Linked DNA regions of Rattus norvegicus. The protein of the gene in region 6 purifies or fractionates together with the protein of the main gene of each other region. This does not show direct contact. Links are inferred from orthologs where the notes say so. Each region holds a gene or a part of one and is shown on either strand. Other genes may lie near its edges. The genes, in order: Vps13a, Rassf3, Vps13c, Lsg1, Akap11, Vapa and Tacc1.

Region 1 (3,954 bases), on a different chromosome or scaffold from region 6:
CAAAATTTTTTTTTCGAGAGAAAAAAGGAACCACAGTAAATATTTTTTACCTTAGAATTTATAAAATTATTTTCATGGATATTTCAGATAAAATTAATTATGAAAGAGGCTGGAAATACAGGTCAGTCATGGGATATATGTATGTGTAGCACTAATCTTAATACCAGTGCTGCAGAAACAGAAAAATTACATGGTTATCTCCAGTAATACTTAATTAAAATTATTTCACTTCATATTTATTAGAAAATAATCTAATAGTCTATATTATAAAAGTGAGGGTGAAAATTTAAAAGCTTCTATTTTTAAATGAAATAGAATTATGTCCTAACAGAATCGTAACTGATTATGACAACACTGCATGTTTTTAAATTGTGGTTAGGATTATAGGCATTTTGTAGAGGACTTCATCTGTGCTATCTAAGAGGTTCAGGGCTCTCAAACACTGAAATCAAGCGGAGGGCAGGAAAGTTCATTACAGTACCACAGACACACTGCATCTTAAATCATAGTCATTGGTAGTAGATTGGCAAGTTTTCAGGTGTCAGTCATAGGTAATAGATGAATGCAGGACTTGCTGCTTGGTACAGGAGAGGCAGCAATGAACGGTGTGCTTTTGAAAGGGTTATAGGGTTTATAGAAAGACTCTGGCAACCAGGGTTCAATTCCCAGGACCCATGTGGTGGAAAAAGAAAGAACTGACTCCTATAAGTTCTCTTCTGACTGAAATATGTGTACATATGTGTAAATAAATGAATGTTAAAAGGAGGTTCTGTTGTACTTAAATGTGAAGGTGAAATTTGGTCTCCAAAGGTAAGCCAAATGAAGAAAGGATGGAAGGAGTATGTATACACAGCTACTGACACGTAGATGATACAGAAGAACTAGCACACTCACAAGGCATGGTGGCGAGAGATAGCACTTTAAAATTATTTTACATAATAGAATGTTTTATTTCAAAAACTAAAAATTCTCATTTTAGGTTCACTATTTTAATGAAATGTTCGGTGTTTGGGAACCTTTACTGGAACCCTTAGAAATTGATCAGAGTGATGATTTTAGACCTTGGAATCTTGGCATCAAGGTATGTATATGTATGTTATTTTCTTAAAGGAGTTTCAGGTTTGCTACAGAATTGTCAAGTATAGTTCCTGAATATATCCTCTTCATATATTTAGCCTTATTAACAGGCTCAATCAAATTATATTTGTAGTCTGAGAAAGAGCTTAAAAGGAAAAGCTTTCCAGAGCTTTTGAGGATATCCATACTACATTACACAGTTTATTTTATTTATTTGCTTATTTACTGATTCATTTGTTATTTGTTTGTGGGTGGTTGATTCGTATGAATATATGTTTGTACAACATACGCCTTCCTAGTGTCCACAAAGGCCAGAAGGGATCAGAACCTCTGGAACTGGAGTCAGACCATTGTGAGCTGTGAGTCACACTTGGGTCCTCTGCAAGAAAGCAAGTATTTAACCACTGAGCCATCTCTTAAGCCCCATATAAGACCAGAGATGAAACAGGTTTCCTTAAAGTGAAAGAATGTTGACTATTGCCCTACACTATAGCTATGGTCAATCCCAAATTTTCTTTGTTCTGTGAGTGGACTAATTCATTCCTTCCTTCCTTCCTTCCTTCCTTCTTCCCTCCCTCCCTCCCTCCCTCCCTCCCTCCCTCCCTCCCTCCCTCCCTCCCTTCCTTCCTCCCTCCCTCCCTCCCTCCCTCTCTCCTCCTTCCCTCTCCTTTTTTCTTTCCTTCCTACTTTGTACCTCCCTCCTTCATCCCTACCTTTCCCTAATTTTCTCCCCCTCTACTATTTCTTCCTCTCTATACCCCATTGAACATAGTATGTCATGTGTTTTAATAAATTGTGAATTTATTTAATCCTAAGAATCTGTGCCTTTAAATAGGTGAAGTTGTGCTTGTAAAGCAAGAAATTATCTAATTATAACAATGCTTCCTACCTATTGATGGACTCTACTTGTAGACACATCTTTAGGACCTTAAAGTAATGTAAAATATCCCTGAGCTCAAGGCCAGCATTGTCTACAGACGAGTTCTAGGATAGGTAGGACTACACAGAGAAGCTCTGTCTTGAATAACCAAGAGAAAACAAAAAGTAAGGTATAATAACAACTGAATATCTTAGCATGCCTACCATATCATATTTAAATGATTTCATTTAATTCTTTAGGTTATGTCAGATGATTTTGTTAAACTAATTTCATTGGTAGTTTTTAAATTAGACTGTATATGGGCCACATTTTTTGAAAGAAGTAGATAGTGCATAATCTTACAAATTCCCCAATACCACGTTGCTTTGCTACTTGTGTGTGACTGTGTCAGTCCCTAGTTCTGTTTCCGTTACCAATACCCTAAACTGTCTCCGTGACTGTTGTGAAGTGTATGCTCTTGATTTACCTGAAGATTCCATATATTCTTAGTTACTTTCAAAGTTTTTCTTTCTTCTAAATTATCAAATTTATTGTATAGAATTTATTTTCCTTTAGTATTTCCTCCTGTCAGCTTTGTGACACTACTTGGTAAGTCCAGGAAATTTCATCAGGCAGTGTAACCCATGGGTCCATAACTCTCTCTCTAATGATATTTGTTGTTATTTTACAGATAAGTTATGTTATACTCCAAAGACAATTCTTTTATTTCTAATTTTACTTTATCCTTTAGATGAAAAAGAAAGCAAAAGAGGCCATTGTTGAGTCTGATAGTGAAGAAGAGAACTACAAAGTACCAGAATATAAGACTGCCATAAGTTTTTTTTCCAGAGACCAATTAAACATTACACTGTCCAAATGTGGCCTTGTGATGTTAAGTAATTTAGTTGAGGTAAGAAAATACAAGTATTTGAAACTTTAGGTATTGAAACAATGAGTGAAGTTGTTATTTATCTAGTTACTATTCTCATGAACTTGTCCCCTGTGTCATTTATTCCCCAATTTCCCTGTTAGGCATTCACTGAAGCTGCTACTGGATCTTCAGCTGTCTTCCTCAGAGATCTAGCACCATTTATGATTTTAAATTCTCTTGGACTTACTGTCTCTGTTTCACCAAGTGATTCTTTTCACGTACTTAATGTTCCTTTGGCAAAATCATATGAACTGAAAAACGAAGAAAGTTTAAGTATGGATTATGTCCGAACTAAGGACAATGATCATTTCAATGCAATGACCAGCCTAAGCAGCAAGCTCTTCTTCATTCTCCTTAGTAAGTGAGATCTTTCCTTCTTGGGGCTTTGTAAAGTTATTTTCACTTTTGTAAAGCAATTTTACTTATTTGTAGTACCTTAGTAGTTTTTTTTTATAACAATATGTTTTCTAATACATTGGAAACTATATTAATTACCTTTCTGTTAGTGAGATAAAACAGTATGCCTGATGCAAGTGACAGCAGGAGGACTGTTTGACCTTATGGTTCCAGAATGTGAGAGTCTCTGAGGGCAGAGTAGAGGCAGCAGGCATGGAGATTGCAATAACAAGGGAGCATTCACATGGTGAACTGCAAAGAACAGAATGACAGTGGATCACTTCCTCCAGAAGGCCACACCTCCTAGTATTTCTTAAACAGCACTGCCTGGTAGGAACCATTTATTCAAATGCCAGAACCATGAGAAAACAATTTCATTCAAACCACCAAAGGGACATTATAGTCCTCTCCAGTATGTTGATTTCTTTGGTCATTAAATCTTGGTATTTCTTTTTTTTTTTTTTAAGAAATCTATTTATTTTATTTTATTTTTTGGATATTTTATATATTTAAATTTCAAATGTTATCTGCTTTCTCCTCTTGAATACCCCTTCTCCCCTCCCCCTGCTTCTATGAAGATGCTCCCACTCCCTCCCATCCACTCCCACCTTAACACCCTGGCATTTCCCTACACTGAGTCATCAAGCCTTCACAGGACCAAGGGCTTTTCCTCCTATTGATGCCAGACAAT
Region 2 (3,954 bases), on a different chromosome or scaffold from region 6:
GATTCTGTCCCTCCTTTCAGAAAGGACACTTTGGGGGAGGGGGAGGGACCTTAACCCCTCTAAAAACTACAAAAACAACTCAACCAAACAATTTAAATCCAAAGCCCCAGGAGCAAACTTCTTTGCAGATTAAGGACGGGTGGCCCAGCAGGCCAGGAGCTTGTCCTATGAGCACACTGTGTCTTTACAGACAACACGGATGTACTCTCCTGTCGGAAGATTTACCAGCCGTGAGGGTGACGGCTTAGCAGGACACTGCCATTTTAGATTGTGTGGCTGATGTCCACCTGTGCTGGCCAAGTTGCTGGCAAGCTAAAAATGTCGTCAGGTCTTCCCTGTGTCCCTTAGCACTTCAGATGCAATTGCACTGTAGTTTCCTGGCAGCTGCCCCTCCTCGCTAGGCTGCTGAGCCCGTGGCTTCTGACTTGCCTATTTTTCTGTTCCAAAGAGCCTTTCTTTAACAAATGTACACACTTGGGAAAAGCTGTGCGTCACCCTGTGTAGCTAAGGGACATTCCTATCATGTCAAAGTCAGTACATTTTCTTCGATGGCTGCTTTAAGGCTTTTCCCAGAGAAAACTTAAGTGGCTTACTGCTACTTACTGCAGGGACTATAGACACCAACTTCCATTCCAACTGCTGCCCGGGAGATCCCATCCCGCTTCCTGAAGTAACCTAATGTGCGCTCTATTCACTGGGCATTCGTGTAGGCTCAAGCAGACCTGGGGTCAACATTGCTTGGTTTTTGCATGTGAGTTGTACGTGTGCCTCTTGGCCTCTCCAGCCTTAGCACGTGTACATGAGCTTCAAATGTAAATCATCACTGAAAACTTCAACCACCTAAGTGTTCCTTGGTGCGTTAAAGGGCATTAAATTCATCGCTAACATGCTCTCACCAAACCTGTCCCTCTGTGCGGCAATACCAGCAACAAATCCTCCACGCATGCCCGCTGCACACAGATGCCTCAAAGCCCCTCAGGCCTAACGCAATCATAAATGTCTGACATCAGAGTGTGGCTCCCACACTCTGTCCCTGGCCTCTGACGAGGCACCTCTCGGCTGCCCTTCCTTCTGCTAATGAGTAAGAAAGACAGGAACAGAGGGACCGCTTTCATTTGAAGCGTGGCCACGTACCTTGGTCTTCCCTGTGACAACGCTTATAAAGCGCAAACTTGGTGGGACTCTCGGTCACCTGAAACTTCTTGAGCAGCGCGTCGATCACGTCTCCCACGGTGTTTGTGCTGCTGATATGAAGCGTGTTCATGCAGCCACTGCTGCTGGGGTTGGCAGGGGTCTGGGCAGGTTTGCAGAGTTCCATCTGCACCTTAATGAAGCCAGTGTAAATCCCGTTTGAATTCTGGAGAGTAAAGAAAGGCATACTGAGTGGGCGGTCGGCAGGCTGGGAAAGGAGCAGATCTAAGCCCCATGGGAAGGCGAACAGCTTTTACCCAGTTTTGTCTCGAAAACGATTTCACCAAAGAGAGCAGAGAGGGGCTCCCTCAGTGGGGGATTAATACAAGATCTGCAGGGTGGATGCTGTGGAGGATGCTCCAGGATGTCCTGGAGCGCTAGCCCTGAGGTTTGTGCTTCCAAAGCTTCCTGTGATGGATCAGCACCCATTGAGGAAGACACTGTCCTGCGTGGTCCGCGCCTGCCAGACCAGAGCTGCCCTGAAGCCTGGAGCGTGTCTCAGCTCTGTGCTCAACACCAACCTTCCACAGAGAGGAAGGTCACAGCGAGGGCTCTGAGACACCCAAGTCAGCATTGTGTTGACACTAGGAAAATAGACTAGCTTTATTCCCAGCGGCAAGGGGACACAGCAGATGGCACTGTTGCTACACCCTTGTGCCCAGTGGGTCAGACACTCCCACCTGGTCAAGGCGGGGTCCCTCACTGTGTTCTTGCTGCGGCTGCTGCTACTGCAGCTCTTGGGTATTCCAGGAGAATGGTCCTGAAAGCTCAATTCTCCATTTCTCTGTAGGAGTGTTGGCATTACAGATGTGCACCGCTCCATCTGGCCTTTTTTTCACGAGTCTCAGGGATCAAACCTACCAGCCCTGCCAGCTTGTACTTTTACACAGACAGACAGACAGACAGATATCCGCACATGCTCATACCCCGTCCCTAGCCAGCTCCCTGCCCCCAGCCGTCTGTCAGTGAGAGCCAGGTGAACCAGGAAGGAGTACTTACTAAGGTCATCTTCAGCTTATCTGTGACGGCTAAATTGTACTTATGCACTTTCTCTTTGATTTCCTCTTTGCTGAGGTAATTGTGTGTTTCCTTCTCCTTCTCCACATCCTAGAAGAAAAACCGTCCGTGATCATGCATGAAGAACCACACTGGGGGGAAGGTGCAGATAAACCAGGTTTCATCTGTGTTTCACAAAAGAGCAGCAGACGCATTTCTCCCCGAGACACAGGCAACTCTAGTCTATCAGCCAGCACACCAGGTTCATCTGCCAAGCACGCCTCATTCTTCACACCCGTCTTCCTAGGGGTAGCGGAATGAAGTCAATCCACCAGCAACTGGAAACAGCACTTCAATAAATATTAGTCCGCAAATCTGCCTTTGCCAGATTCCTTCTGTAAAAGTAAAGTTCTGCAGAACATCTGCTAGGCTGCGGGGCACTTCGACCTCTAAGGGGTATTCGTTTACCTTCATGTTTACTTCTGAGACAGGGCCTCATTGCGCGGCCCTGGCTGGCCTGGAACTTACTATATAAACCAGGCTGGCCTAGAACTACTAACAGAAACCTGCCTGCCTCTGCTTCCTGAGTGCTGCTGAGATTAAAGTTGTGAGCCACTATGCCTGGCACACCGAAAGCTTCTCCTAGGTACATTTTATTAATGCCATGGTCTCTACAGCTTTACAGTACGCACTAGCAGAAAGTAGGGAACGAATACTAAGTAACTGGCAATAGTAACCGACCTGTCAGACTGTGCACCACTACCAGAGGGTATATTTACCTTCTAAATAACATGTGACCAGGTTCTCTCTACCCCACCATGCTGTCTACTTGTCCCCATACCCTATTTTCTTCGGCCTTTCTTTCCCCATAACGCAAAAGGGGAAATGCTTACTGGTTAAGTTCTTTCCTGATCCTTTAGAAATCACTAATAATTTATTATCTAAAGATCCCAATCGGGGTTGGGGATTTAGCTCAGCGGTAGAGCACTTGCCTAGCAAGCGCAAGGCCCTGGGTTCTATCCCCAGCTCCGGAAAAAAAAAAAAAAAAATCCTCGAAGATCCCAATCAATGCATATTTGTCCTGCCTGATCTTATGTCAACTTGACACAGGGTAGAAGGAGGTAGGGAAGAAGGAACTTCAAATGAGAAAATGCCCCCCACTGCCCTCAACTGTGGGTCAGCCTGTGGCGCATTTTCTTGATTGGGTGATTGATGTGGGAGGATCTAGCATACTGTGGGTGGAGTCACACATGGACTGGTGGTCCTGGGCACTTTACAAAAGCAAGCCAGGTGTCTGTCTTAGTCAGGGTTTTTATTCCTGCACAATCATCATGACCAAGAAGCAAGTTGGGGAGGAAAGGATTTATTCAGCTTACACTTCCCCATTGCTGTTCATCACCAAAGGAAGTCAGGACTGGAACTCACACAGGGCAGGAAGCAGGAGCTGATGTAGAGGCCATGGAGGGATGTTACCTACTGGCTTGCTTCCCCTGGCTTGCTCAGCCTGCTTTCTTATAGAACCCAAGACCACCAGCCCAGGGATGGCACCGCCCAAAACGGACCCGCCCATCTTTGATCACTAATTGAGAAAATGCCTTACAGCTGGATCTCATGGAGGCATTTCCTCAAGGGAGGCTCCATTCTCTGTGATAACACCAGCTTGGGTCAAGTTGACACACAGGACCAGACAGTACAGCAAGCCAGTAAGTAAGCAGACCTCAATGGCCTCCACCATCAGTCCTGCCTTGAGCTCTGATGCACTGACTT
Region 3 (3,465 bases), on a different chromosome or scaffold from region 6:
AGTAACTGCAATGCCTGACTGGTACTGATATCTGGCAAACTTTGAGTCTGTCAGCTCATTACCTTTTAGTTCTGGCTGTGCCTCAGAAGCATACATGGAGCTTTGTTAGCAACAAAACAATAAAACGAAACACCAGATGTCCAGAGATCAGTGAACTTAAAGTCCCACAGTATCACGAAGATATTAGTAGTCTCTCAAACATAATTTAAACTAGAACACCACCATCCTGGGAGTCTCAGGTAAGAAGTCTATCCCAGATCAGGTTCTTAGAAAGCCTAAGGGTGTTCTTCCCGTGTGTTGCTCACTTTGGATTTTGATATATCTGCCTTGCTACAGGCCGCATGTGAGTCTCCTCTTCCCACCTGAGGACGCGGTGCCTGACGGGCCTTCAGACTGGTACTATGGGTGCCCAGTGGGAGACTAAGGGGGTTTCAAGAGAAGCATTGGGAGAAGCACTCCAGATCTCCAAAACCTTAGCATCCTTGTTGCTCTCCCCAGTGACAAGCAGGAGCTCAGTGCAATGCTGCAGCTGGGCCACACAGCTCCAGTAGGGAGGTGGGGGTGGGGGTCTCAGAGCCCAGGAATAGGCTTTCCCTCACCAGCTCCTTGTAAAACCCCCTGCAGTGTTTCACCTATCTTCTGACTATCCTGAGAGCAGAAGGAGAAAGAGGAAAATTGAAATAAAAGAGAATGTGACTTCAGTATTTAACGCAAACACAGATCCCACACATATAAACAATGTAACAATGTTTTATTTTTCTCAGGTTATAAGCAAGTCACTGTCTCTGAATGCATTTGTAAAAAAGACCACACACCTAATTACATCCAACCAATGGGTAACTCCTATACCAGAACACTGAATCAAATAAAAACGCCACAGAAGATTGTCAACTTAGATAACAAGTTTATAGACTTGACTGCTCTTAGTCTAATGTTCTGTACACTTGTTTCTGGAATAAACCATCAGTGCAATATAATGCCTTAAATATTTACGATCCCATTGACAGCTGTGATTAACATGAAAAATGTAGTCAGATATTCAAATTCCTGATTGACTCAGTTTTAAAGACATAGCTACTGTGTTTGCTAGAAGGCTTTTCACTGCCTTCTAGCTCTAAAGTTCAATTAGGTTTAAAGCTATCAGTTTTATATGTAATTATTTTCTTAACAGGAATAAAGGTATTAAGCTAGGCACAGTGGTGCATGTCTTTGATCCCAACACTTGGGAGGCAGAGGTAGGCAGATCTTTGTGAGTTCAAGGCCAGCCTGCTCTACATTGTGAAACCCTATTAAAAGGAAGGAAGGAAAGAAGGAAGGAAGGAAGGAAGGAAGGAAGGAAGGAAGGAAGGAAGGAGGAAGGAAGGAAGGAAGGAAAGAAGGAAGGAAACTGGAGTTGGGGGGGCATGGTGAGGAAAAGAAAGGAAAGGAAAGGAAAGGAAAGGAAAGGAAAGGAAAGGAAAGGAAAGGAAAGGAAAGGAAAGGAATTAAAAATGTAACAGCTACTAAAAATCAGATTTCTCGTTTTTCTTTTTTTTTTTTTTTTCCGGAGCTGGGGACGGAATTCAGGGCCTTGCGCTTGCTAGGCAAGCGCTGCTCTACCACTGAGCTAAATCCCCAACCCCCAGACAGATTTCTCACTCTCCCTCAGAGAAACGTGAAGCAGCAGTGGGGAGCTAAGAAGTCTTCCTGCAGTCCTAAAAGCGTGACTGGCATTGAGTGTGGAAGGAGGACCTGAATCGACTAAGGCAGAGCAAGACAAGGACATCCACACGTTCCTCATCTCATAGCTGACTGTGCGCTTTAACTAAATGTTCAACTCCCTGAACAAAGCTAAAGGCCCCCCAAGGAAATAAAATCCCTTAGAGTAACAGGCAGCCCCTGGCCCCCTGCCTAACCTGCCAACAGGCAGCCCTGACCTAACAGGCCTCAGAGCTGCTGGATGGACGCAGAGAACACCTGATCTCAACTCTGTACAGACCTTTAAAAATCCTATAATAAAGTAGAGAGTTTTCACTCTTCCTAACAGGTATTTAAAAGACATTTACAGGTATGCATTAGAATTAAATGTTAATTTATGACACCCTTTGCAGTCTTTTATACTCTAAAATAAATCTCTGGAAATATTAAAAAAAAAAGTTGCATTTTATATATTCCTGAATGCCGAGGAGCTTACAGTGCAATTTCTCAGTTTTCATTCCTCAGAAATCTCTAATTGTGCTCATGAGTTCATCCTGAAAGCACCCACTCTGACAGACACACACTGGGTGCCTCACTGTAGACAGCCGGCGCCAGACTGCCCCTGTTCTGAGATTAGATGGAAAGGAGAAAGAAAAAGCACCATGTAAAACTCATCCTATTAGGATAAAAATAACATTTGCATAAAAAGAACATAGAAAATGAGCCGTCTCTCCTGTAGGTGCATTTCTTCAGTCAATCGCCGGGTTTACCGAAAGTGCTCTCTTAGTTCAATTATTGTACAAATTACCTTTAAGCAAATGTCAGAGTGTCCACTATTTATCTGGCTAAAACCTTTCAGAGGACACTACTCGTTTTAAAAATCTCCTTTCTTCAGAAAAGACTAATTAAAAACAAGCCCACCGCTCTTTGCTTTACAATTTTAATATTAATGAACAAGTCTCTCTGAGGCAAAGTGGTATTTCTTTGAGGTCTGACCTACACATGTAGCAGTAAATTCCTAATACATGCAGGATTGCAAAACCAAGACTCAAAATTGAGTCAAAAAAAAAAAAAAAAAAAAAAGCCAGCCCAGACTGGCTGGAAAGGTTCTCTTTAGCAGGACTTCTGAAGCGGTTGTCTCCCTCAGAAGCCTTGTAAGATCCGTGGTCAAGATGGAAGCTGGGGCCTGAGGAGCTTCACTGCTTCACTGACGACTGCCTCATCAGCCTCTGCTGCTGCCTGGCTGACTGCGCGCTCTCGATGGCTTCAAAGGCTCTCTGGAAGGCAAAGCAGGGTTATCAACTGAAAGGTGACCTCTGGCTCACCCGAGGGAAGGCAGAGATGCCAGTCTCCATGCAGGAGGACAAGGACCAGGCTACCACCCACACATGAGGTATGCGCCAACTACCCTGAAGCATTAGAGAATGAGTGAGGGTAATGCCAGACTAGCTGTTACCGGCTTGTAAAGGTCTTCTGGTTAAAAACCTTGGGGCATGAGGGAGAGGCGTTAAAACAGTTTACCTTGGCTGTGATGGGATCCTTCAGGTAAATTTTCCGAAGATAACCTACATTGGCACTGTCTTTTTTATGGAAAAGACCCTGCTCCTGTTTTTAAAAGAAATAATGACAAAAAAAAAAAAAGGAATTATTCTTTAGAAGAAAAAAAATACCATAATCTTTCATTGGATGCTTAAATGTCAACTTATTTCATAAGCACTACACCAATGGATGCATACATCTAAGTACGCTATGAAATAAATCACCTTGCTACAAGGAGAGTGGCTGCAC
Region 4 (4,440 bases), on a different chromosome or scaffold from region 6:
TTAGCAACAATGACTTCTAAAATACATGTTGACCGAGTCCTCTCAATAATACGGAAGAGTAACAAGACTCATGTTCCATTCCCGACATTGCCTATCTTTGATCTATAGCTGGTCGATTCCTGACACTGCCTATCTTAGATTTATAGCCAGTCGATTCCTGACATTGCCTATCTTTGACCTATAGCCGGTCAATTCCAGACACTGCCTATCTTTGACCTATAGCCGGTCAATTCCAGACACTGCCTATCTTTGATCTATAGCCGGTAAAAACTCCTTCCACGGCTGAGCAGCATGTTACAGTGGTCTCCCCAGTAATGAGAATGTTATTCAGCACCAACTACTATACACTTATTTCTTTTTTAGACAGGGTCTCACTGTGTAGCCCTGACTGTCCTGGAGCTCTCTTTGTGAAGATTCCGTGTCCCAAGTGCTAGGATTAAAGATGTGTGTCACCATGCCAGACTTTTTATATACACATTACGAGGAAAGCTGACGATCGGTTGGGGCACTAAATATCTATTAGTGAAGACAGCTCACTAAAGACAGCTTTAATTTTAATTATAAAAAATGTTGATACAATGCTTAATATCTCTCTCTCTCTCTCTCTCTCTCTCTCTCTCTCTCTCTCTCTCTCTCTCTCTCTCTCTCTCTTCCCTCGCTCTCTTCCTCCCTCTCTACCTCCCTCCCTTCCCCTAAAAGCGCCGGCTTTTGTTCTCAACTTTCAAGTTCTGAAAATGATACCCATTCTAAACTCTCAACCATGTGTGAACTTTTCTCCCCGCTCCGCAACTACAGAATGCTAGGAAAACAAAAACTGAGCTGAAAAACCAGCATCAGGAAACTTCTGCCACCTAGAGCCACAGAAACACCCCTTCACCCGAGGGCCCTCCTCCCGTCGAAAGTGCTGCGAACGTGAGCGGTCATATTTTCCAGTTGGCCCAATTTCCCGCCGGACTTTAAACAGTGACGTACAAGTCTGGAATGTACCATTCTCTTAAGTCGGTCAATCTATCAAAAGGGGAACAGTCGAAGGAGTAGCCATAAGGAATCCTCCCGATCGATTTTTACATTTCTTCTCTATAGTACTGTTAAACTCTGGCTCTACCAAAATCATCCTGAAGCAAGTCATTCAATACCCTGCAGCTTCACTTCGGAACTGTACTACTTAGACTCGCTCTTACGTCACTTCCTGGTTCACAGCCAGGGAAACCGGAAGCCTCACGCGCTGAGAAGTGGTTCGTGCTGCTGATACGCTGTTATGGGCCGGAGAAGAGCGCCGGGTGGTGGGTCACTGGGTCGGGTACTTATCCGGCATCAGACTCAACGAAGCCGCAGTCACCGTCATACTGACTCCTGGGTAAGAACGTCCGTGCTCTCCATATTCTTCCCGTCTCGTTCTGAGAGCCTCCATGCTACAAAAGTTGTAGCTAGAAGTCACGCCTGAACAGGAATTCGAAGCAGACACCGACAAGGCGCAGGGCGCAGAGAGGCTTTAAAACAGAGCTAGTGTGTAATAAAGTAGGAGTGAAAACATGAAGAGCCTTTCATGTTAGAATGTTTCCCTGTGTTTGGCTTTTGCCCTAGATGCCATGGACGCTCTTGGAAATTTCTATAAAGAAAATTACGTGTTATCGTAAAATTTTGAAACAGAGTGTCCGTATGCAGCGAAGAGTGGCCCAGAACTGCCTTCCTCCTGCCTGTGCCTGGAGAGTCCTGGATTTACAAGCCGTGGCTACCACGCTTGGATCTTTAAACTGAGATTTTTAGTTATCCAGAGAATCGATCCAATGGAAGTGATTGGTTCCATCAGAAGAACAAATAAATCCGATCCCTGCTTTCCCTTGTTTTGCCCCCTTGGAGTTTATCTTAAGGAATTGACATTGTCTCTAGAAGCTTAGGAAAGATCGTAGTAGGAGCCTTAAGAAGTAAATGAAATAGAGAAATTAATTCTAGCAGAGTATTTGAGGGCATTCTGAGTCCTCACTAAGGTCTTGTACTGAAGTTGTTTGTCCCTGGTACATGTCCATCACACCGTCCCATTTCCAAACAGATACTGTGAGGAATACACGCATGCTTCTCAGTGTTCAAGTCTGGACATTGATGACTAATCCTCTCACCTGGTTTTGTGGTGACCTATCAATGTACTAACCTTTGGGAAATAGTGGAGAGGTTTAATTTTAATCTAAAGAAATCCCCTAGGAAGCGCAAGGCCCTGGGTTCGGTCCCCAGCTCCGAAAAAAAGAACCAAAAAAAAAAGAAATCCTAACTTGTATCCTGATTTTTGTTAATTCTAAGCTTTCAATCCTTAATTTCGTTTTTAAAAAACTATGTTTGACCCATATAAGCATATAACTTAGGGTGGTGTATATCAAACTCTGGGTTTACAACTATAGGCAAATTATTTTACCTATTTAAACCTGTTTTCTTGATGGTAAAATGAGAACACAATAAAATTCGTTTCAAAAGAGTCAGAAAATAAAATTATAGGATAAAAGGGAAATGCTCTTGCTGAGATAAGAAAGTGTTCATTTAAATATTTGATCTTGGGTTTTTGTACTGCCGGATATCAACACCATTGACAGCAACAGGCAAGTATTTTGCTGAGCTGGGCCCCCCTCTTAGCTAGCGTTAGGTATTGGTAGTATACATTTAGAAGAGTCAACCACCTTGAGAACATAGACCAGTAAAAGCAAAGGTAGAGCCTGTGGATGCCAGGCGCAGGAGAGAGCTGCCTCACTCTTTGCTCTGTTTTATTCGTAGCTGCATACGAGTGAACTCAATGATGGTTATGATTGGGGACGTCTGAATCTTCAGTCAGTGACGGAACAGAGCTCCCTCGAGGACTTTCTTGCAACTGCAGAACTTGCAGGGACGGAGTTCGTGGCTGGTGAGTTGTTTATTACCTGGTGCCTGTGACACTGGCCACACCGCCATCTTGCTCACTTCAAATGAATCCAAAAAGCAGTATGGGGCGGTCCCATGGGTGTAAGGTAAAGTCAACACTGGTTTTTAAATTCACCTCTAAAGAACACTTCAGATGTCAGGCATGGTGGTGCATGCCTTTAATCCCAGCACTCTGGAAGCAGAAGCAGATGGATGGATCCTCTGTGAGTTCCAGACCAGCCAAGGTTACATTACATAGTGAGACCCCGGCTCAAACACAGAACAAATACCACTTCAGATTGTAATTCACCATTGAGTTCAAAACATCCTTGCTGCTGTCTGGAACCTTGTGTTGTAAGTGCGTGCACTCAGTCACTGACAGATACTATTATGTATTTCTCTTACTATTACAGATGTTGTGCTCCTTAGAAAGTCATTCGTTTATTTGTTCCAAATGCCTTTATTTAGAATCAGTTACTCTCATTCATTGTGCTGGCTACTCAGAGAATGTTAAGAGATACATTTTATTCATTTTTAAAAATATTCTTTTATATGTTTTGAAAGAAGTCTAAGAAACAGCAGGCTCCTAGTAGTTTCTGACAAGATTGGGTGATGAGCAGGAGACAACTGTTCAGATTGGTGCACACCTATGATCCCAGCACCTGGGCAGCACTTGCCCTAAGTTTGAGGCAAGCCTGGGCTACAAATAATAAATCCCCAGCCTGGGCTACATAACAAAACCCTATCTCCAAACAAAAGACACAGGCAGGCAGAGGCATCCAGACAGGATGTGAAATGGCAATCTACTTTGTTGAGAAAATTGTCACAAGTTTGGTTGTGCTGGTGCAGGGGACAGGTGTTAATGAGCACAGACACTGAGGGGGTGGGCAAGGGCCATATTCCCAGGAGGAAGAAAGGGAAGGCTAGGTATGGTGACCCATGCCTTTTACCACAGAGTGCAGAAGGCAGAGGTAAGTGAATGTCAGGGAGTTTGAGACTAGCCTGATCTATATAGTGAGGACTTGTCTTTTAAGGGGTTGGGGATAAAGGGTTCTTTATAGGTTTTTAGGCAATTAATGACAGACATAGTTTCAGATTTCATTTTCTGGTAGGTTTTGTTTGAGGGGAGCTTTTGTTTTGATTTGGGGGTTTGGGAGGGGATAGTCATGCTACCCACCTCCTAGCTTTATGAAGTTATGGTACACGATATGTCTTAATATACATACACAGTGTATGGGAGGTGACTTTCAAGCTGACTGATCCATCACTGCACATGGCTCTCTGATGGTGGCAAGGTTATTCACAGTCCACCCTCTTGGTAAATTTCAAATGGACAGCATCCCTTGGTGACATCACCATGTTGGTCATTAACTGTCTAGAACTCCTTCTCAAGCTTCATTGAAGCTTTGCACTCTTTGATGGCCTTTATCCTGTTTCTTCCTTGTGATATTCACTCTCTGCTTCTGTAGGCTCCACCTTCTCAGTTGTGTATACTACTGGGGTCACATTAGCCAATCTCAGCTACTTTGTGGGTTTCTCTTTTTCACACCCTTTAAA
Region 5 (3,954 bases), on a different chromosome or scaffold from region 6:
ATAGCTGGAGTGAGTTCTCCCAATTGTAAACCTACTCATACAATTGTAGATATCTTACTTCCTAAAATGAAAAGCCTTTTTCTTTGGTACATTATCAAAAATATTTAGTGATGAACTAAATAAAGGCTGTCTTATGAAAGCAACATTTTGCATGGAAGATTGTTCATTAGAAAGTTAACAAGAAGTCCGTTCAGTTTGCACCACATATAAATGTGTGTAAGACGGGCATAAAGCAGGAGCAGTCCCTCCAGTTGTACAAAGAAATCCGAACAGGAATATTTCACTAAAAATTAGTTATGTGCTTGCACACCACTGACGGAACTTTGCTGGCAGGAATTTAGTTTATACGCAATGATCAAAATAATTTTATACTTCAAGGCTGGCAATGCTTTGTGAGTTAGACTTTCATCAATACCATTTCCTTGAGACTAAAACAAGGAAAGCTTCAATCACTTACTATTACTAAGCAAATATAGTAAAAATCTGCCCCCAAAAAGCAGATTAGAAATGATCCTCTAGTTACCTGATTTAGAGGACTACTGCTTACATCAGAAGATTTATTGGTATCCTTCATACAAATGATTTCATTTTCACTTAGACTGCAGAAATGGAGCGAATTCAGAAGATCTGGAAGTTCTAGTGAAACTGCAGCTAGATCCTAATTTTAAATGACAGTAACAGTAACGATCAACACCACAGAGTAACAGTCAAGGTTTCCACAAACTGTCCATAGCCAAAGCCCATGAAGTGTACTGGTCAATAAGCTGCCTGCTTTGTAAGGGCTGCACACTTTAACAGTGTGCCTGCAGTCATTTTCTAACTCACACAAGGCCAAGGTTACTCAGTGATGCTTTAGAGCCTTTCCAGCATGTGGCTACTGAGCTACCCCATCAACCTTAACAGGCCACCTCCCACAGCTAAGGAGATCAGCGTTTAAATGATTTTAGCAGTTGTCACCCTAACATCCTTTGGTCTGATTCTGGAGTTTTTCATATAGAAGTCTTAGCCACTAAAACCCTTCAGGGATAAAGTTTTATCTCTTTAAACTGTAAGTCCACTTTCCCGAAGGTATTGTAGAAAGCCTTCAAAGAGTTTATGCAGGTTAAAGGAGAGCTACCTTTCTTTTCTCTTAACTTTCCTCTTTTTTTTTTTTTTAATTATTTTTTCCAGCTCAAGGTTCTCTCCAGTCTTTGCCCCACAGAGAGTAGAGGCTTCATACAGGTGGTCCTGTCTACAGCTCCTGAGGGCCACCAGAGGTGTGCTGTTTGTTTTGTTTCTGAAACAGTGTCACTCTGTAGATGGTGCTGGCTCAGAACTATGCAGCCGAAGCCGGACTCTCACAGTGACACTCCTGCATCAGCCTTGAGAGTCCAGTTATATATCTACATGCTGTTCTGGAGAGTGTGCCCTCCCTGTTGCTGTTAAACCAGTTCTTCCTTCTGCTATGAAAATCGAGACAGAAGCTGCAGATGACCTCACCAGGGAGGACTAACACAACCTGCCAGCTGTCTAGCAGCAGCACAGGGGAACTCTGCAGTGATTTGTGTAATGTCAGCCATCCCTTCACGGCTGCTAACCTCAACTACCAGTCCCCTATAAACGCCTACATGAAATGTGCACAAACTTATAAATGTGCAAACATTGACACCTTTTACAAATCTGACCTTTTATACTTAATTCTACTTCACTAAAAATACAGAACTTTACTACTAAATCAAATTATGAAAACTGTCAAAATATACAAATGTTACATGCAATATAATAAACAGAATCGAGAAAATGGCCTGTGGTTTAAAGATTCAGAAAAATGATTTCAATAGTGAAATTTAAATCTTCTTTCCTTAGCAAGAGTTATCAACGAAAGCTAGTCACGGTAGCACACGGTTGTTATCCCTGCACTTGGGAGGTGGAGGCAGCAGGCTTTCTACAAGTTTAAGGCCACAGCAAAGATATCTGACAAGACCTTGTCTCATAAATAACAAAAAAGGAATCCTTAGTAAAAATGCTGAAATTGAAGATGTAAAGATCACACTCAAATGTTATCTTTGTTTCTGGGGGTTCGGGATAGGGAAAGAGACTATGTAGCCCTGGTTGGCCTGGAACACACTGTACAGACCAGCCACTGGTCCTGAACAAAAGTTCAGCCTGCCTTTGCCTCCTGAGTGCTGGAACTAAAGGCATGCACCATTATGCCTGGCTGACTGTAAAATTTGAGCTCTACAGTAAAATTTTCAGTCTCCAAAATTTAAGTAGTCTCCCACTGTCTTTGCCAATTCAATAAATTGACCCTACCTTCATATGAGCAGCATCTGTTTCTTCATTAAAGCCCAGAAATGTGATCTGAATTAAAAAAAAAAAACCCCTCCATTAGTTTACTGTTTTTAAGTCCTGGGTCAGGATGTTGACAAGGCACAGTATAAGCATGGTACTATGGTACTAAACACGGGGCAGGCAGTGTTTCCAATGACCAAGATTGTAGCTTCACCATTCACCTTTCCCTCTCCCTCCTGATCCTCATCGTCACTGCCATGTGTTCTTACTTTCACCATCACTGGACTTGTCCACTGCCATGCCTCTTGTCCATGCTTCCCAGAGTTGTTAATGGAAGCCTTCAGCCTGCCCTCATTTCATTCAAACCCATGAGACTCCTTTCTACATCTAGCACATGCCCTGTACGTGACTCCTTAAGGTCCTTGCAGTGGTGTCCCCTTGATATGAATGTTTTCCTCGGACCATTCTAGGCCTGGCCCCTCTTCATTCTACAAGTTCCTATGAGTTCCAGCAGCCTTCTTAGAGACCTTCCCTGTGTAGATTCCCCAGGTTCCCTCCTCACTAGACAGCAACACTTCATACGCTCACATACTTAAAATGAACCAGTACACTGGGAAGGAAAAAACCTTAGATATTTGAGATATGCATACCCTAAAATGGAACAGAAATCTCTCCTATCCTTTCAAGTTTCCTTGCTGAACACAAAAGGGAGACTACGATAACCGCGGGCCCTGAAGGTACCAAGGGAGCCTGCTCCTTCTGGTGATATGGAAGATCTCGTGGAACAGGCTGGAAGAGCAGCTTGACAACAACCAAGGATACAGGCTACAAAACTGAGGGCAGGCAGGAGGCAGAGTAAGAGTGCTCTGCCCTACAGAGAGAAAAGTAAAGGGAGGTGCGCAGAAATCCAGTGAGGAGATCCAGGTGGCAGGATGCGACTCATTTAACAGGCATGCTCCTCTTTCTAGAGAAGGAAGCTTTTCCCATAAAGAATTCCTCAAGGAACAGAAACCTGTGAAGACCCAATACTAAACTTGAGGCTTTGCACATGCTAGGCAAGTGATCTACTCTTAAGCTATACTCTCAGCCCTCAATATTATATTCCAATTTGTAATATGAATGTGATGATGGAATACAGATGCTTTTTAAAAAATCACTTTTTAGCAACAACAAATTCAAACAAAGATTAAAAACAATTGCTATTGCAGAGAAATAGGTAAGCAAGGTATGTAAAACTCACCCCCCCACACACACACATTTCCAAGTGCGAGTATCTTAATTCTGAAGATAAACTTACCACTTTATACTTTAAATCAAAGCACCGAGACAGTCAAGAAAAAGATTTAAAAAGTGTCTACATGAAATAAGTGTATTTTTTCCTTTCAAGAGAAAAGAAACTGTATTAAAGCAGCGGCCACTGGATAAGCCCTACCTGCCCAGTGAAAGGCCAGTAGTGCCTATGCACTTACCAACAGCTAATAAGAACAGTTGATCAATGTCAGCTACTAATTAAAACAGGTACTTCATTTTAAATAACATTTTATTAGTTATTTAAGAATTTCACACAATGTATTTTGAGCATTTTTGCTTGCCTCAATTAATCCCAGATTGACTTCCAACCCCATACCCATCTAATGTGGTATTATCATTAAAACAAAAAATCAGGTCTAATTTGTGTTGCCC
Region 6 (3,954 bases):
CAGTCCCCAGCTCCGAAAAAAAGAACAAAAAAAAAAAAAAAAAAAAAAAAAGAAAGAAAGAAAGAAAGGAAGGTCTAATAAACCAATCTAAGAAGAAGAATGTAGGGACTAAGCCTGACTGGTGGTAATCCCAGTTAGGAGACAGAGGCAATGCAGATCTCAATTTGAGGCCAGCCTGATCTACAGAGTGAGTTCCAAGTCACCAGGGTTATACAGAGAAACTCTGTCTTAAAAAACAAAAGTAGTAGTAATAGTAATAATAACTACTACTATTATTATTAATATCCCCAAATCACTTTTACAGTAATGTCAATCAAGATAAATTTATCTTTGGTTGTTAAATACAAAAAGCAATGGAAGCTATTATCTTTGGAGCCAGCACAGATAAACAGGGAAACTAACATATAAAGTCTAAACACTGTACTTCTTACTCTGGCAATTATGGTTCTGATTCACTTTAAAAAGATGTGTTGAAGGGGTTGGGGATTTAGCTCAGTGGTAGAGCACTTGCCTAGCAAGCGCAAGGCCCTGGGTTCGGTCCCCAGCTCCGGAAAAAAAAAAAAAAAAAAAAAAAAAAGATGTGTTGAAAACTTAAGTCATTTACTGGTCAATACCTAACTAACGTTTATGAGCATTTTTATTTCAGCTTTCTTATCAAGAAATATAGTTTACTCTGAATAGAGCAAACAAGTTACCAGATCAAAGCAAGAGTCATACCAGACTATAACCAAATTATACCAATTACATTTACCCACAGTATTTTATACATTTCAATCCACACAAAAACTTTGTTCTATAGTCCCTCCTACAAACCACAGAAAAAATGAAAAATCCTTGGGTTTGGAGAGATGGCTACTCTTCTTCCACAAGGCCTGGGGTTCCATTGCCAGCACCCACCCATGGCAATTCAAAAGCATTGAAACCTATGCCCTCTCTGGTCTCTGAGGGCACCACACAAGCACAGATATACATAAAGGCAAAGCAACCATACACATAAAATAAAATACTTTTAAAAATTTTTTAATTTATATTATATAGAGCATAGGCCACTGGTCTGCTACAAAAACATATCTATCCTTCAGCCCCCCCAAATATGTAGTTGCTTAATGCTAATCAATAAGCAATTATTCACTAAAAAATAAAATTGATTTTGATCAGAAGACAAAAATATGCAAAGTGTTTGGCAAAGGCTAAACTGGGGGGAAGATGACTTATCCCTGTAAATTATATATTTTAGTCCAAGAATATTGATGATTACCCAAAAAGAAGCCCTGATTTTATAGCTGTATCTGCATATGCATGTCTTATTCTTTAAGAAAAAGGATAAAGACATGATTTCAGAATTTGAGAGCATTCTCAGAAATTCTTTCCACACTGAAATTTGGACCTACCGTGTAATATTTACTTCTTCTTGGGCAAACAAAATATCATAAATTGGAAATAGCATTATCAAGCTTTTTACGTCTCATAAAATGACCAGGCACTACAAGCCCAGTGTCAGAGGCTGATGACCGACCAAGGTTTCTTTCTTACTCACCAGCTTATCGTTTTCATTCGGCATCTCAAATACACATCTCAGTTTAGAATCCATTAGTTCGTCAGGTTTTGCCTCTTTCCACTAAAAGGAAAAAGAAACAAAACAAAAATCCAAAGATGAGAAAAGAGAGCATGTGGCACTCAGGTCTCACCAGAGGGGACAACTGAAGCCTGGGAACGGTGGCTTAGACAACGGCCCCGTCAGGAAGCGAAAGCTCGGCTGCTGCTGGCTGGAGTTGACTGCAGGTCGCCTACAATCATGTACCAGTGTCTCTGCCATCACCATCAATTAAAGCCACACTGACACTGGGCCCAGGAAGGCAAGGGTACTGCTGCCACCCTGGTGGCCTGAGTCCATCCTAGGAGCCACACTGTGTGGTAGACAGACTGGGAGGCCAGCCTGACCCAGCTGACCTCTGACCCACAGAATGCAATGGAAGGCAACACACACGAGTCTTCTTCACCTTAGTGTTTCTAAATGGTTCCCAAGGAACAGTATTTCAGGCTTGGTGGGCCATGCATGCCTTCCAGCTCTGTGATGGAAGACGCAGAGGCAAGAGGATCTCTCTTAAGTTCAAAGTCAGCCTTGGTCTACAAAGTTCCAGAACAGGCAGAATCATGTCTTCCTTTTTTTTTTTTGGGGGGGCGGGGGGGTGTCAAAAAACTAAAAGGCTTTTTAATTGTTTAAATTTTAATTTTGTTCTGATAATTAATTTTTGGCAAGGAAGTCAGGATTGTTGAGAGTTAAACAAAACAAATTTAAACCACAGCTCCAAAAATACAACTTCTACACTTACCACAGCTTCCATATCTGAAATGTTTGGTGGAGCAAAAATTGTCTGTACCATGAACTTATGTTTACTCTTTTCGTTCGGATCATAGTCAAAGGGCTGCAGCATTACTAAACAAAGAGAGAGGGCACATGATCACCACCACAGCAACACACAAGCGTAATAGCAAGATGGGGTCAAACTCAAACGTAGTAGTCTCAAGATGCACAAGCCACGTTATAACTTTCAATTATTAGTAAATTCATTTTCTGCTGATTCTAATTTGGATAACTGAAACACTTTTAATATAACCCATTTTTAAACTGGATTTTAAACAATTACTTAGAATGTGTTCATTTGTTTAAATCTAATTTTAAGAAAACAAAGAAAGTCATTAACTCCTTGACAATTAGACCGAACCCAGGGCCTTACGCCTCCTAGGTAAGCGCTCTACCACTGAGCTAAATCCCCAGCCCCAGGCATACATTTTTTTAAGCAAAGGCCTCAAAACACTTCTGTGGATGTACAGAACATGATTCAATCACAAAACAGTGCCATTTCAAAGATGAGTAAGAATACAGACTACGGTGGAAAGACAGTTATGGAAACAGAGACTAGATGATGCTTCAGACTGACAGTAACTAATCACACCCACACACAAGCTCAGAGTAGGAAAGTTTCAGTAAAATTTTATATGGCAGATACCCAAGGAAAACCTTTAGACAAAAACTGAAGCCAAACAATAAACAGATAAAAATGTCAATATTCAAAACTGCATTAGTGTAGGACATAACTGCTACCTGAGACAGTCACGATTGACCCTGGGTCAATAACCCCACTGTTGGGCCGCACGCAGTACCGGCGGGGCGCTGTGGTCTTCACTTTGAAACACACTTTTCTGTCCGATGGATTCTGCAATTTAAGATTTGTAGTGACTACATCTGTGAAGGGGCCTGTAAGGTAAGGGGCAGAGGAAAAGAAAATTAACTGGATTCACAAAAGCATTATTTTGGTGATTTCATCCACAAAGTAACTATGATTTTAGGTTTTTAATTTTGGTTACATTTATTTATTGTTGCTTGTGTGTTGCACGTATGAACACGTGTCATGGTTATCTACACGGAGATCAGAAGAAACTTTTTAGAACCAGTGTTCTCCTTTCATTATGTGGGGTCCAGAAACCAAACTCCATCCCTCAGGCTTGGCAACAAGCATCTCCATCCAATGAGCCATCCTGTCAGCCAAAACTGTCCTCATGTTCCTACCACATCACATGACTGACAGTCCCCAGTGGTCGTCACCAGTGCTGATCTTTGAGCTCACAAGGCCATACAAAACCAAACCCTGACAGTACTCACTGCCTCAATTCATTCAATCCATTCACTCACGTGTGTTTTAAGTACGATGTTCTATGCTCTATCTAAATGCAAAGTCTTGTCTTAAAGCCTTACTTTTGTACTCAATAAAACGACAAAAATAGAATTCAAAAAGCCAACCCAGCTCTACTTAACCAGGATATCCTTGCTGTTTGTAAATGGGCTGTGAGACGTGAAGATAAACCTATTTGGTTTTGGCCGAAAAGCCAAGACAGATTATACAGTCTAGTTTGCGCAGCAAGAATTTCTTGTTGATTTTGAAGGCACTTTTA
Region 7 (4,754 bases), on a different chromosome or scaffold from region 6:
TAGAATAGAGCATTAAACTGAATGACTGGAATCCCCACAGCATGGCCATATGAAGACAGACTTACAAGGAGAACCCACCATGTCTTAAGGCCCAGGGACGGGACGTTAGGCTGCTGCAAGCCAAACACCAAAGACTGTTGATGACCAGTCCAAGTTAGAACAGACAAGAAGCAAGTCTTTCCTGAGCCTTCATACGGAACATGACTTTGCCCACACTTCAGATTTCCCACCCCCGAACTGTGAGTAAGAATGGACCCCTTGTTCTGAGCCACTCGGTTATGGCGTTTTGTTCAGATGCTCTCCAGCTCGCTCAGAAAATCAGATCGTCATCATGGCATCACGTGGCCCTTCCTCTCCCCTTGCTGACATCAGCTCCCATTTCTACCCGCAGCCTAGTTATCCCTCTTGGGCACACTGGCCTCTGCCTGCTCCTCCAGAACCACACCCCAGGGCCTCACCACTTACAGGATGCTTCTTTGCAAGCACTGTTCCCTTTGCTGAAAGGATTCTCCTCCCAATAATACACACACGTTTTGTCTCCTCACTTCTCCCCTTCTAGGACTCTGTTCAAGTCAGCTCCTCTAACTTCCAGCCTTTACCAGTCAGGCCCACAGGCCCATACCTCCTCCTACCCCCGCCCATCCTTCTCTACAGTACTTAATAGAACCAGACAGGTATTTTGCTTTTAACCCGTAAAGGTTCCATTCTGTAGTGGTTTTTTATGTTTGGCTCAGGGAATGGCACTATTAGGAGGTGTGGCCTTGTTGGAGGGAGTGTGTCACTGTTGGGGTGGGATCTGAGACCTTCCTACTAGTTACTTGGGGGCTGGTCTTTTCCTAGCAGCCTTCAGATGAAAACCCAGCCCTCTCAGCTCCGCCAGTGCCATGCCTGCCTGGAAGCTACCATGCCATGTCCTCTGCCTTGATGATAATGGACTGAACCTCTGAGCCTGTAAGCCAGCCCCAATTAAATGTCCTTAAAAGAGTTGCCTTTGTCATGTGTCTCTTCCCAGCAACGGAACCCTGACTAAGATAGCTTCCCTCCAAGGCCAGCCTGGGCTATCTGAAATCCTGCCTTTAGAGAAAAAAAAAAAAAAAAAGATTTCCATTAATGTAGTGGGCCAGAGGCATTGAGAACTAAAGGGCAGGTACTAGTTTGGACTGAGGGGTAGGGGTGGGGGTAGGGAAGGACAGTATGTGTGACGGATTTTCTTGGTTAGACTGAAGGGCTCCCCACTGGTCCTCTGCGGGAGAAAGGCAAGCAATTTTGAAACTGCCTAAGATTCCTAACTCAAAAATCAACTCTTACCTATAATTTTGTGTCTAGCCACACCCTTGTAGAAAAGTAGTCTCTGAAATCTTTGAGGCCAAATCTAAAACATAACCAGCCCAGTCGCTGCTACATTTTTACTTATTCAGGGTCTAGAAGGAAGTCTTAACAGGAGTGGTTGAAAATATGATTAATCTCATACTCCAAAAGCACGATCTCTAGTCAGAGAATAAAGCAAGCTTTGGATCATCAAACGATCAAAAGGTTTATTTTACAAAAACAAAAAGCAAAATGCCTTCCAAATCAGCAAGAACTTTAGGGCAACCTCTTCTGGAGCAAGGACCCAGTCCATCCTGTCTGAAGTGGTCCTCACTGCACACACATAACACCCCTTTTTTTGTGTCCTTTTTTCCCCCTTTCCTTAAGTTAAAACCGAAGAGGTAGAAAATTCAAGTTTTGTTACCTTGGGGTTTGGCCTCGGGTTCTGACAATCCTAGTGATGAATCACAAGACTCCTTGAGAGACGATCTGATTGGAGTTTCAGCTTCAGGAGTCTCAAAATTACCTTCAGAATCCGAGCTGCCAGGGGGGAAAAACGAGGCATTACCACAGTCAACGGTATTTCCAACTGCCTTTAAAATGTACTCAGCCACAAAAGTGCAAGTACAGCGCCTCTAACTTTACAACCAACCAATCCTCAACCCAGCCTGAGAACGGCTGCATCATTTTCAGCGATGCCCAGCATCCTAGTTCCCCGAAATCTCTTTCGTCCTCTGGAGCTTCTCACCACGACCACTTGTTTTTTTAAGGTCATCTCTGCCTTTTATAACCAGAAAAGAAAAGAAAAGGAAAAAAAACTTCCCAATCAACTCCTTTCCTCACCATACCCTTTTCCAGGGGCGTAAAATATCGCCCCACCCCCAAACTAAGCCAGTTCTAGCTATGCTGTTTTCCCTTGGTAGGCCTCTACCTGTCTCAAAGTCACTGGAGGCTGAAAATGCCGTCACCTGCCTTCCACAATCACACGTGTGACAGCTCAGCAGAGACCACCATTTCTCACCAGCTGCCAGGGGCCTGTCATCACGCGATCCTCTTTTACCAACGCTGCATTTTAGGACACTGCGGGGCCAAGGAGGGCGGAGGAGCGATTTCTTGCCCACAAGGGTAAAAGCTCCAAATCCCACTTGGCCTTATCAACTGACACTAACCGGTGTGGCTGCGTCGGAACCGGGGTGTCGACGCTTAGAGAAAGCGACCCAGGCAAACCAGGATGCGGAGACTGCGGATTCGGGGCTGGGTACAGAAAGCTCACAGCGAAGACAGGGGACGAAAAGCACACGGGCAGACAGAACATCCCGAACTTTCGGGTACACAGCGGGGACCCGGCTGCGGGCAGGACGCAGCAGAGCCCGGAGCACGGTTGCGCGCACACAGCATGACCGCGGTGGGAGGATGGCGCGCGGCTGCATCTCGGCTGGGATGCGGTGTACTTGCCTGAAACTCAGGGATTTGGTCTCGGCTTGCGAGTCCTCTTCCTCCTCGGGGTCGCCTTCGGGACCTCCAGCTTCGTCCTCTCCCGCGCCCGAACCGCGCACCGCGGACCACGTCCACTTGGCCCACTGCACGGGCGACAGGATCTGCCAGGGACTGAACGCCATGAGCGCGGCTACCGCCCCTGCGGTGGGGAAACGGCGGCCTCTTCCTTCAAAATGGAGGGGCCTTGACAGGCGCCGGCAACGTCGCCGGCGACCCGCGGATGTGGCTCAACGAGCGCCGTCGGGCCGGGCGCAGCGCTTCCTCCCACGGCCCCGCAGCGCCGCTCGCCCCCGCTCCTCGGGGCCGCCGCGCCGAAGCTCGCCCCCGCGCGCGCCCGCCCGCCTGCCTGTCCCCCAGTCCTGCTCTGAGACGACAGGCTCTGGGGTCCGCTCCCGCCTGGAGCAGCCTCGGCCGCTGCGGAGCCGCGCCCCTGGAGCCGCCCCCTCGGACCGAACTACTGGCGCGGCGCGCGGGGGCGGCCGCTTGGAAGCGCGCTCCCCCTGCCGCGCTGGTCGCGCCCGGCCTTGGGCAGGGGCTGCTCGACCGCGCTCGCCCTCCCGGCGGGACCCGCGCCTGCAGCGCGCAGCGCGTTGCCGACATCCATTTCCGAGCGTGTGCGCGCCGCGGCGCCGTTCCTCTTCCCCTTTTATCTGAGCTTCCTGCCGCTAGGACTTAATGGCGTGACTGACACTGCACCGCACCGGAGTTAAGACCCCTATTTAATTAAAAAAACAAACAAACAAACAAAAAAAAAAAAACACTCGGACTCTCTGAAGAGTGTTGTACCCGCTCCTTGACACTGGTCATCTCCATCCTTGTTACTCCCAGGATTTGGAAAGCTCCCGGGCAAGACAAGAATTGAAGATGCTTGCTGGTACCAAACCACACTCATGGAGGCCTCCAGAGAGGCATGACCTGGGATAGATGCAAAATTGCCCCCTGACAAGACAGCCTGAGCGATTTCCCGTTGTCCTTTCTTTTCATAACTTTAAGCTTTTTTTTTTTTTTCTGATAATTCTTGGGTCCTTGGTTTGCAGTACAGAGGTCTTCAGTACAGAACCAGCAGGTCTGGTGACAGCAGTCTTCTGAGTTAAGGCGTTTATCTTTGAAAAGAAGAATTTTTCCCTTTATCTTTGAGGAATTCCACTAAGAGACTGCCCCAGGCCCTCTCTCCCAGTGAATCCATTTTCTCCAAAGCCAAGTCTGAGACTATTAGTTCATCCGAGTGTTTCCCGTAGGACTGACATTTCTCAGAGTCTCGGAGAAATTTATGATGTGGCTACAGTTCCCACAGAGAGTGTGTGTGCCTCCAAAATTCAGGACAAGGTCAGGCTAAAATTTGCAGGACGCTGCTGATCTCCCCTGAAAGGAGTTGGCACTACGTGGACTGCAGACAAATCGCAAATGTCTTATACACTCCATAACAAAGATGAGCAAACATGTAAGATAAGGCTTGGCAGGTATCCTACCATAGTAATAATAATAATAATAATAATAATAATAATAATAGCAGGAGGATGCTTTAGAATCCACTACTGCTTCTTGCCTGAGATACACATTGACTGTCAAAGAGTGTCGAAAGACTTTTTTTTCTTTTTTTCAGAGCTGGGGACCCACAAGGCAAGCGCTCTACCACTGAGCTAAATCCCCAACCCCGACTTTTTTTACAATGTGAGCAGAAGACATTTTGTTTTAGGTCTACACCAAATATGCCAACACTACCCAGCTGTCGCCGTCTTGGGTTTATGATCAAGTAAATCTTCAGACTAGAAATCCCTTAGATTCCTGGATTTGACACGTGTATCTGTAGCTTAAAAATAGTACACATGTAAGTCGATACCTGGTCTTGATCATTCTTCCTCTTCGAGAGTGCTACCCTCTCCTCTTTTCCCTCCTCCCCCATCCTTGCATAGTTCCTGCACTCCCTAACTGGTTAGACTTAGTGTCTG

What was found.
Region 1: the proteins of Vapa (region 6) and Vps13a purify together in Homo sapiens (co-immunoprecipitation; 3 studies listed by BioGRID and IntAct, counting the BioPlex papers as one, with this or other methods). This does not show direct contact. The link is inferred for Rattus norvegicus from reciprocal best matches to the Homo sapiens genes VAPA and VPS13A.
Region 2: the proteins of Vapa (region 6) and Rassf3 purify together in Homo sapiens (co-immunoprecipitation; 3 studies listed by BioGRID and IntAct, with this or other methods). This does not show direct contact. The link is inferred for Rattus norvegicus from reciprocal best matches to the Homo sapiens genes VAPA and RASSF3.
Region 3: the proteins of Vapa (region 6) and Vps13c purify together in Homo sapiens (co-immunoprecipitation; 3 studies listed by BioGRID and IntAct, counting the BioPlex papers as one, with this or other methods). This does not show direct contact. The link is inferred for Rattus norvegicus from reciprocal best matches to the Homo sapiens genes VAPA and VPS13C.
Region 4: the proteins of Vapa (region 6) and Lsg1 purify together in Homo sapiens (co-immunoprecipitation; 4 studies listed by BioGRID and IntAct, counting the BioPlex papers as one, with this or other methods). This does not show direct contact. The link is inferred for Rattus norvegicus from reciprocal best matches to the Homo sapiens genes VAPA and LSG1.
Region 5: the proteins of Vapa (region 6) and Akap11 purify together in Homo sapiens (co-immunoprecipitation; 3 studies listed by BioGRID and IntAct, counting the BioPlex papers as one, with this or other methods). This does not show direct contact. The link is inferred for Rattus norvegicus from reciprocal best matches to the Homo sapiens genes VAPA and AKAP11.
Region 7: the proteins of Vapa (region 6) and Tacc1 purify together in Homo sapiens (co-immunoprecipitation; 4 studies listed by BioGRID and IntAct, counting the BioPlex papers as one, with this or other methods). This does not show direct contact. The link is inferred for Rattus norvegicus from reciprocal best matches to the Homo sapiens genes VAPA and TACC1.

What each region holds. Positions count from the first base shown.
Region 1 is NC_086019.1:223,404,938-223,408,891, reverse strand, and holds part of Vps13a (intermembrane lipid transfer protein VPS13A), read left to right. Parts: intron 1-979; coding exon 980-1,081; intron 1,082-2,687; coding exon 2,688-2,846; intron 2,847-2,968; coding exon 2,969-3,224; intron 3,225-3,954. UniProt on the Homo sapiens protein: Mediates the transfer of lipids between membranes at organelle contact sites. Binds phospholipids. Required for the formation or stabilization of ER-mitochondria contact sites which enable transfer of lipids between the ER and mitochondria.
Region 2 is NC_086025.1:58,826,608-58,830,561, forward strand, and holds part of Rassf3 (ras association domain-containing protein 3), read right to left. Parts: intron 2,299-3,954; coding exon 2,191-2,298; intron 1,358-2,190; coding exon 1,135-1,357; intron 1-1,134.
Region 3 is NC_086026.1:77,530,279-77,533,743, reverse strand, and holds the end of Vps13c (intermembrane lipid transfer protein VPS13C), read right to left. Parts: intron 3,283-3,465; coding exon 3,199-3,282; intron 2,955-3,198; coding exon 2,874-2,954; 3' UTR 735-2,873; downstream 1-734. UniProt on the Homo sapiens protein: Mediates the transfer of lipids between membranes at organelle contact sites. Necessary for proper mitochondrial function and maintenance of mitochondrial transmembrane potential.
Region 4 is NC_086029.1:83,647,567-83,652,006, forward strand, and holds the start of Lsg1 (large subunit GTPase 1 homolog), read left to right. Parts: upstream 1-1,243; 5' UTR 1,244-1,258; coding exon 1,259-1,357; intron 1,358-2,760; coding exon 2,761-2,887; intron 2,888-4,440. UniProt on the Homo sapiens protein: Functions as a GTPase. May act by mediating the release of NMD3 from the 60S ribosomal subunit after export into the cytoplasm during the 60S ribosomal subunit maturation.
Region 5 is NC_086033.1:60,344,733-60,348,686, forward strand, and holds part of Akap11 (A-kinase anchor protein 11), read right to left. Parts: intron 2,341-3,954; coding exon 2,293-2,340; intron 659-2,292; coding exon 524-658; intron 1-523. UniProt on the Homo sapiens protein: Binds to type II regulatory subunits of protein kinase A and anchors/targets them.
Region 6 is NC_086027.1:112,634,189-112,638,142, forward strand, and holds part of Vapa (vesicle-associated membrane protein-associated protein A), read right to left. Parts: intron 3,260-3,954; coding exon 3,107-3,259; intron 2,438-3,106; coding exon 2,334-2,437; intron 1,619-2,333; coding exon 1,538-1,618; intron 1-1,537. UniProt on the Homo sapiens protein: Endoplasmic reticulum (ER)-anchored protein that mediates the formation of contact sites between the ER and endosomes via interaction with FFAT motif-containing proteins such as STARD3 or WDR44.
Region 7 is NC_086034.1:73,546,120-73,550,873, reverse strand, and holds the start of Tacc1 (transforming acidic coiled-coil-containing protein 1), read right to left. Parts: upstream 3,171-4,754; 5' UTR 2,928-3,170; coding exon 2,764-2,927; intron 1,849-2,763; coding exon 1,733-1,848; intron 1-1,732. UniProt on the Homo sapiens protein: Involved in transcription regulation induced by nuclear receptors, including in T3 thyroid hormone and all-trans retinoic acid pathways. Might promote the nuclear localization of the receptors.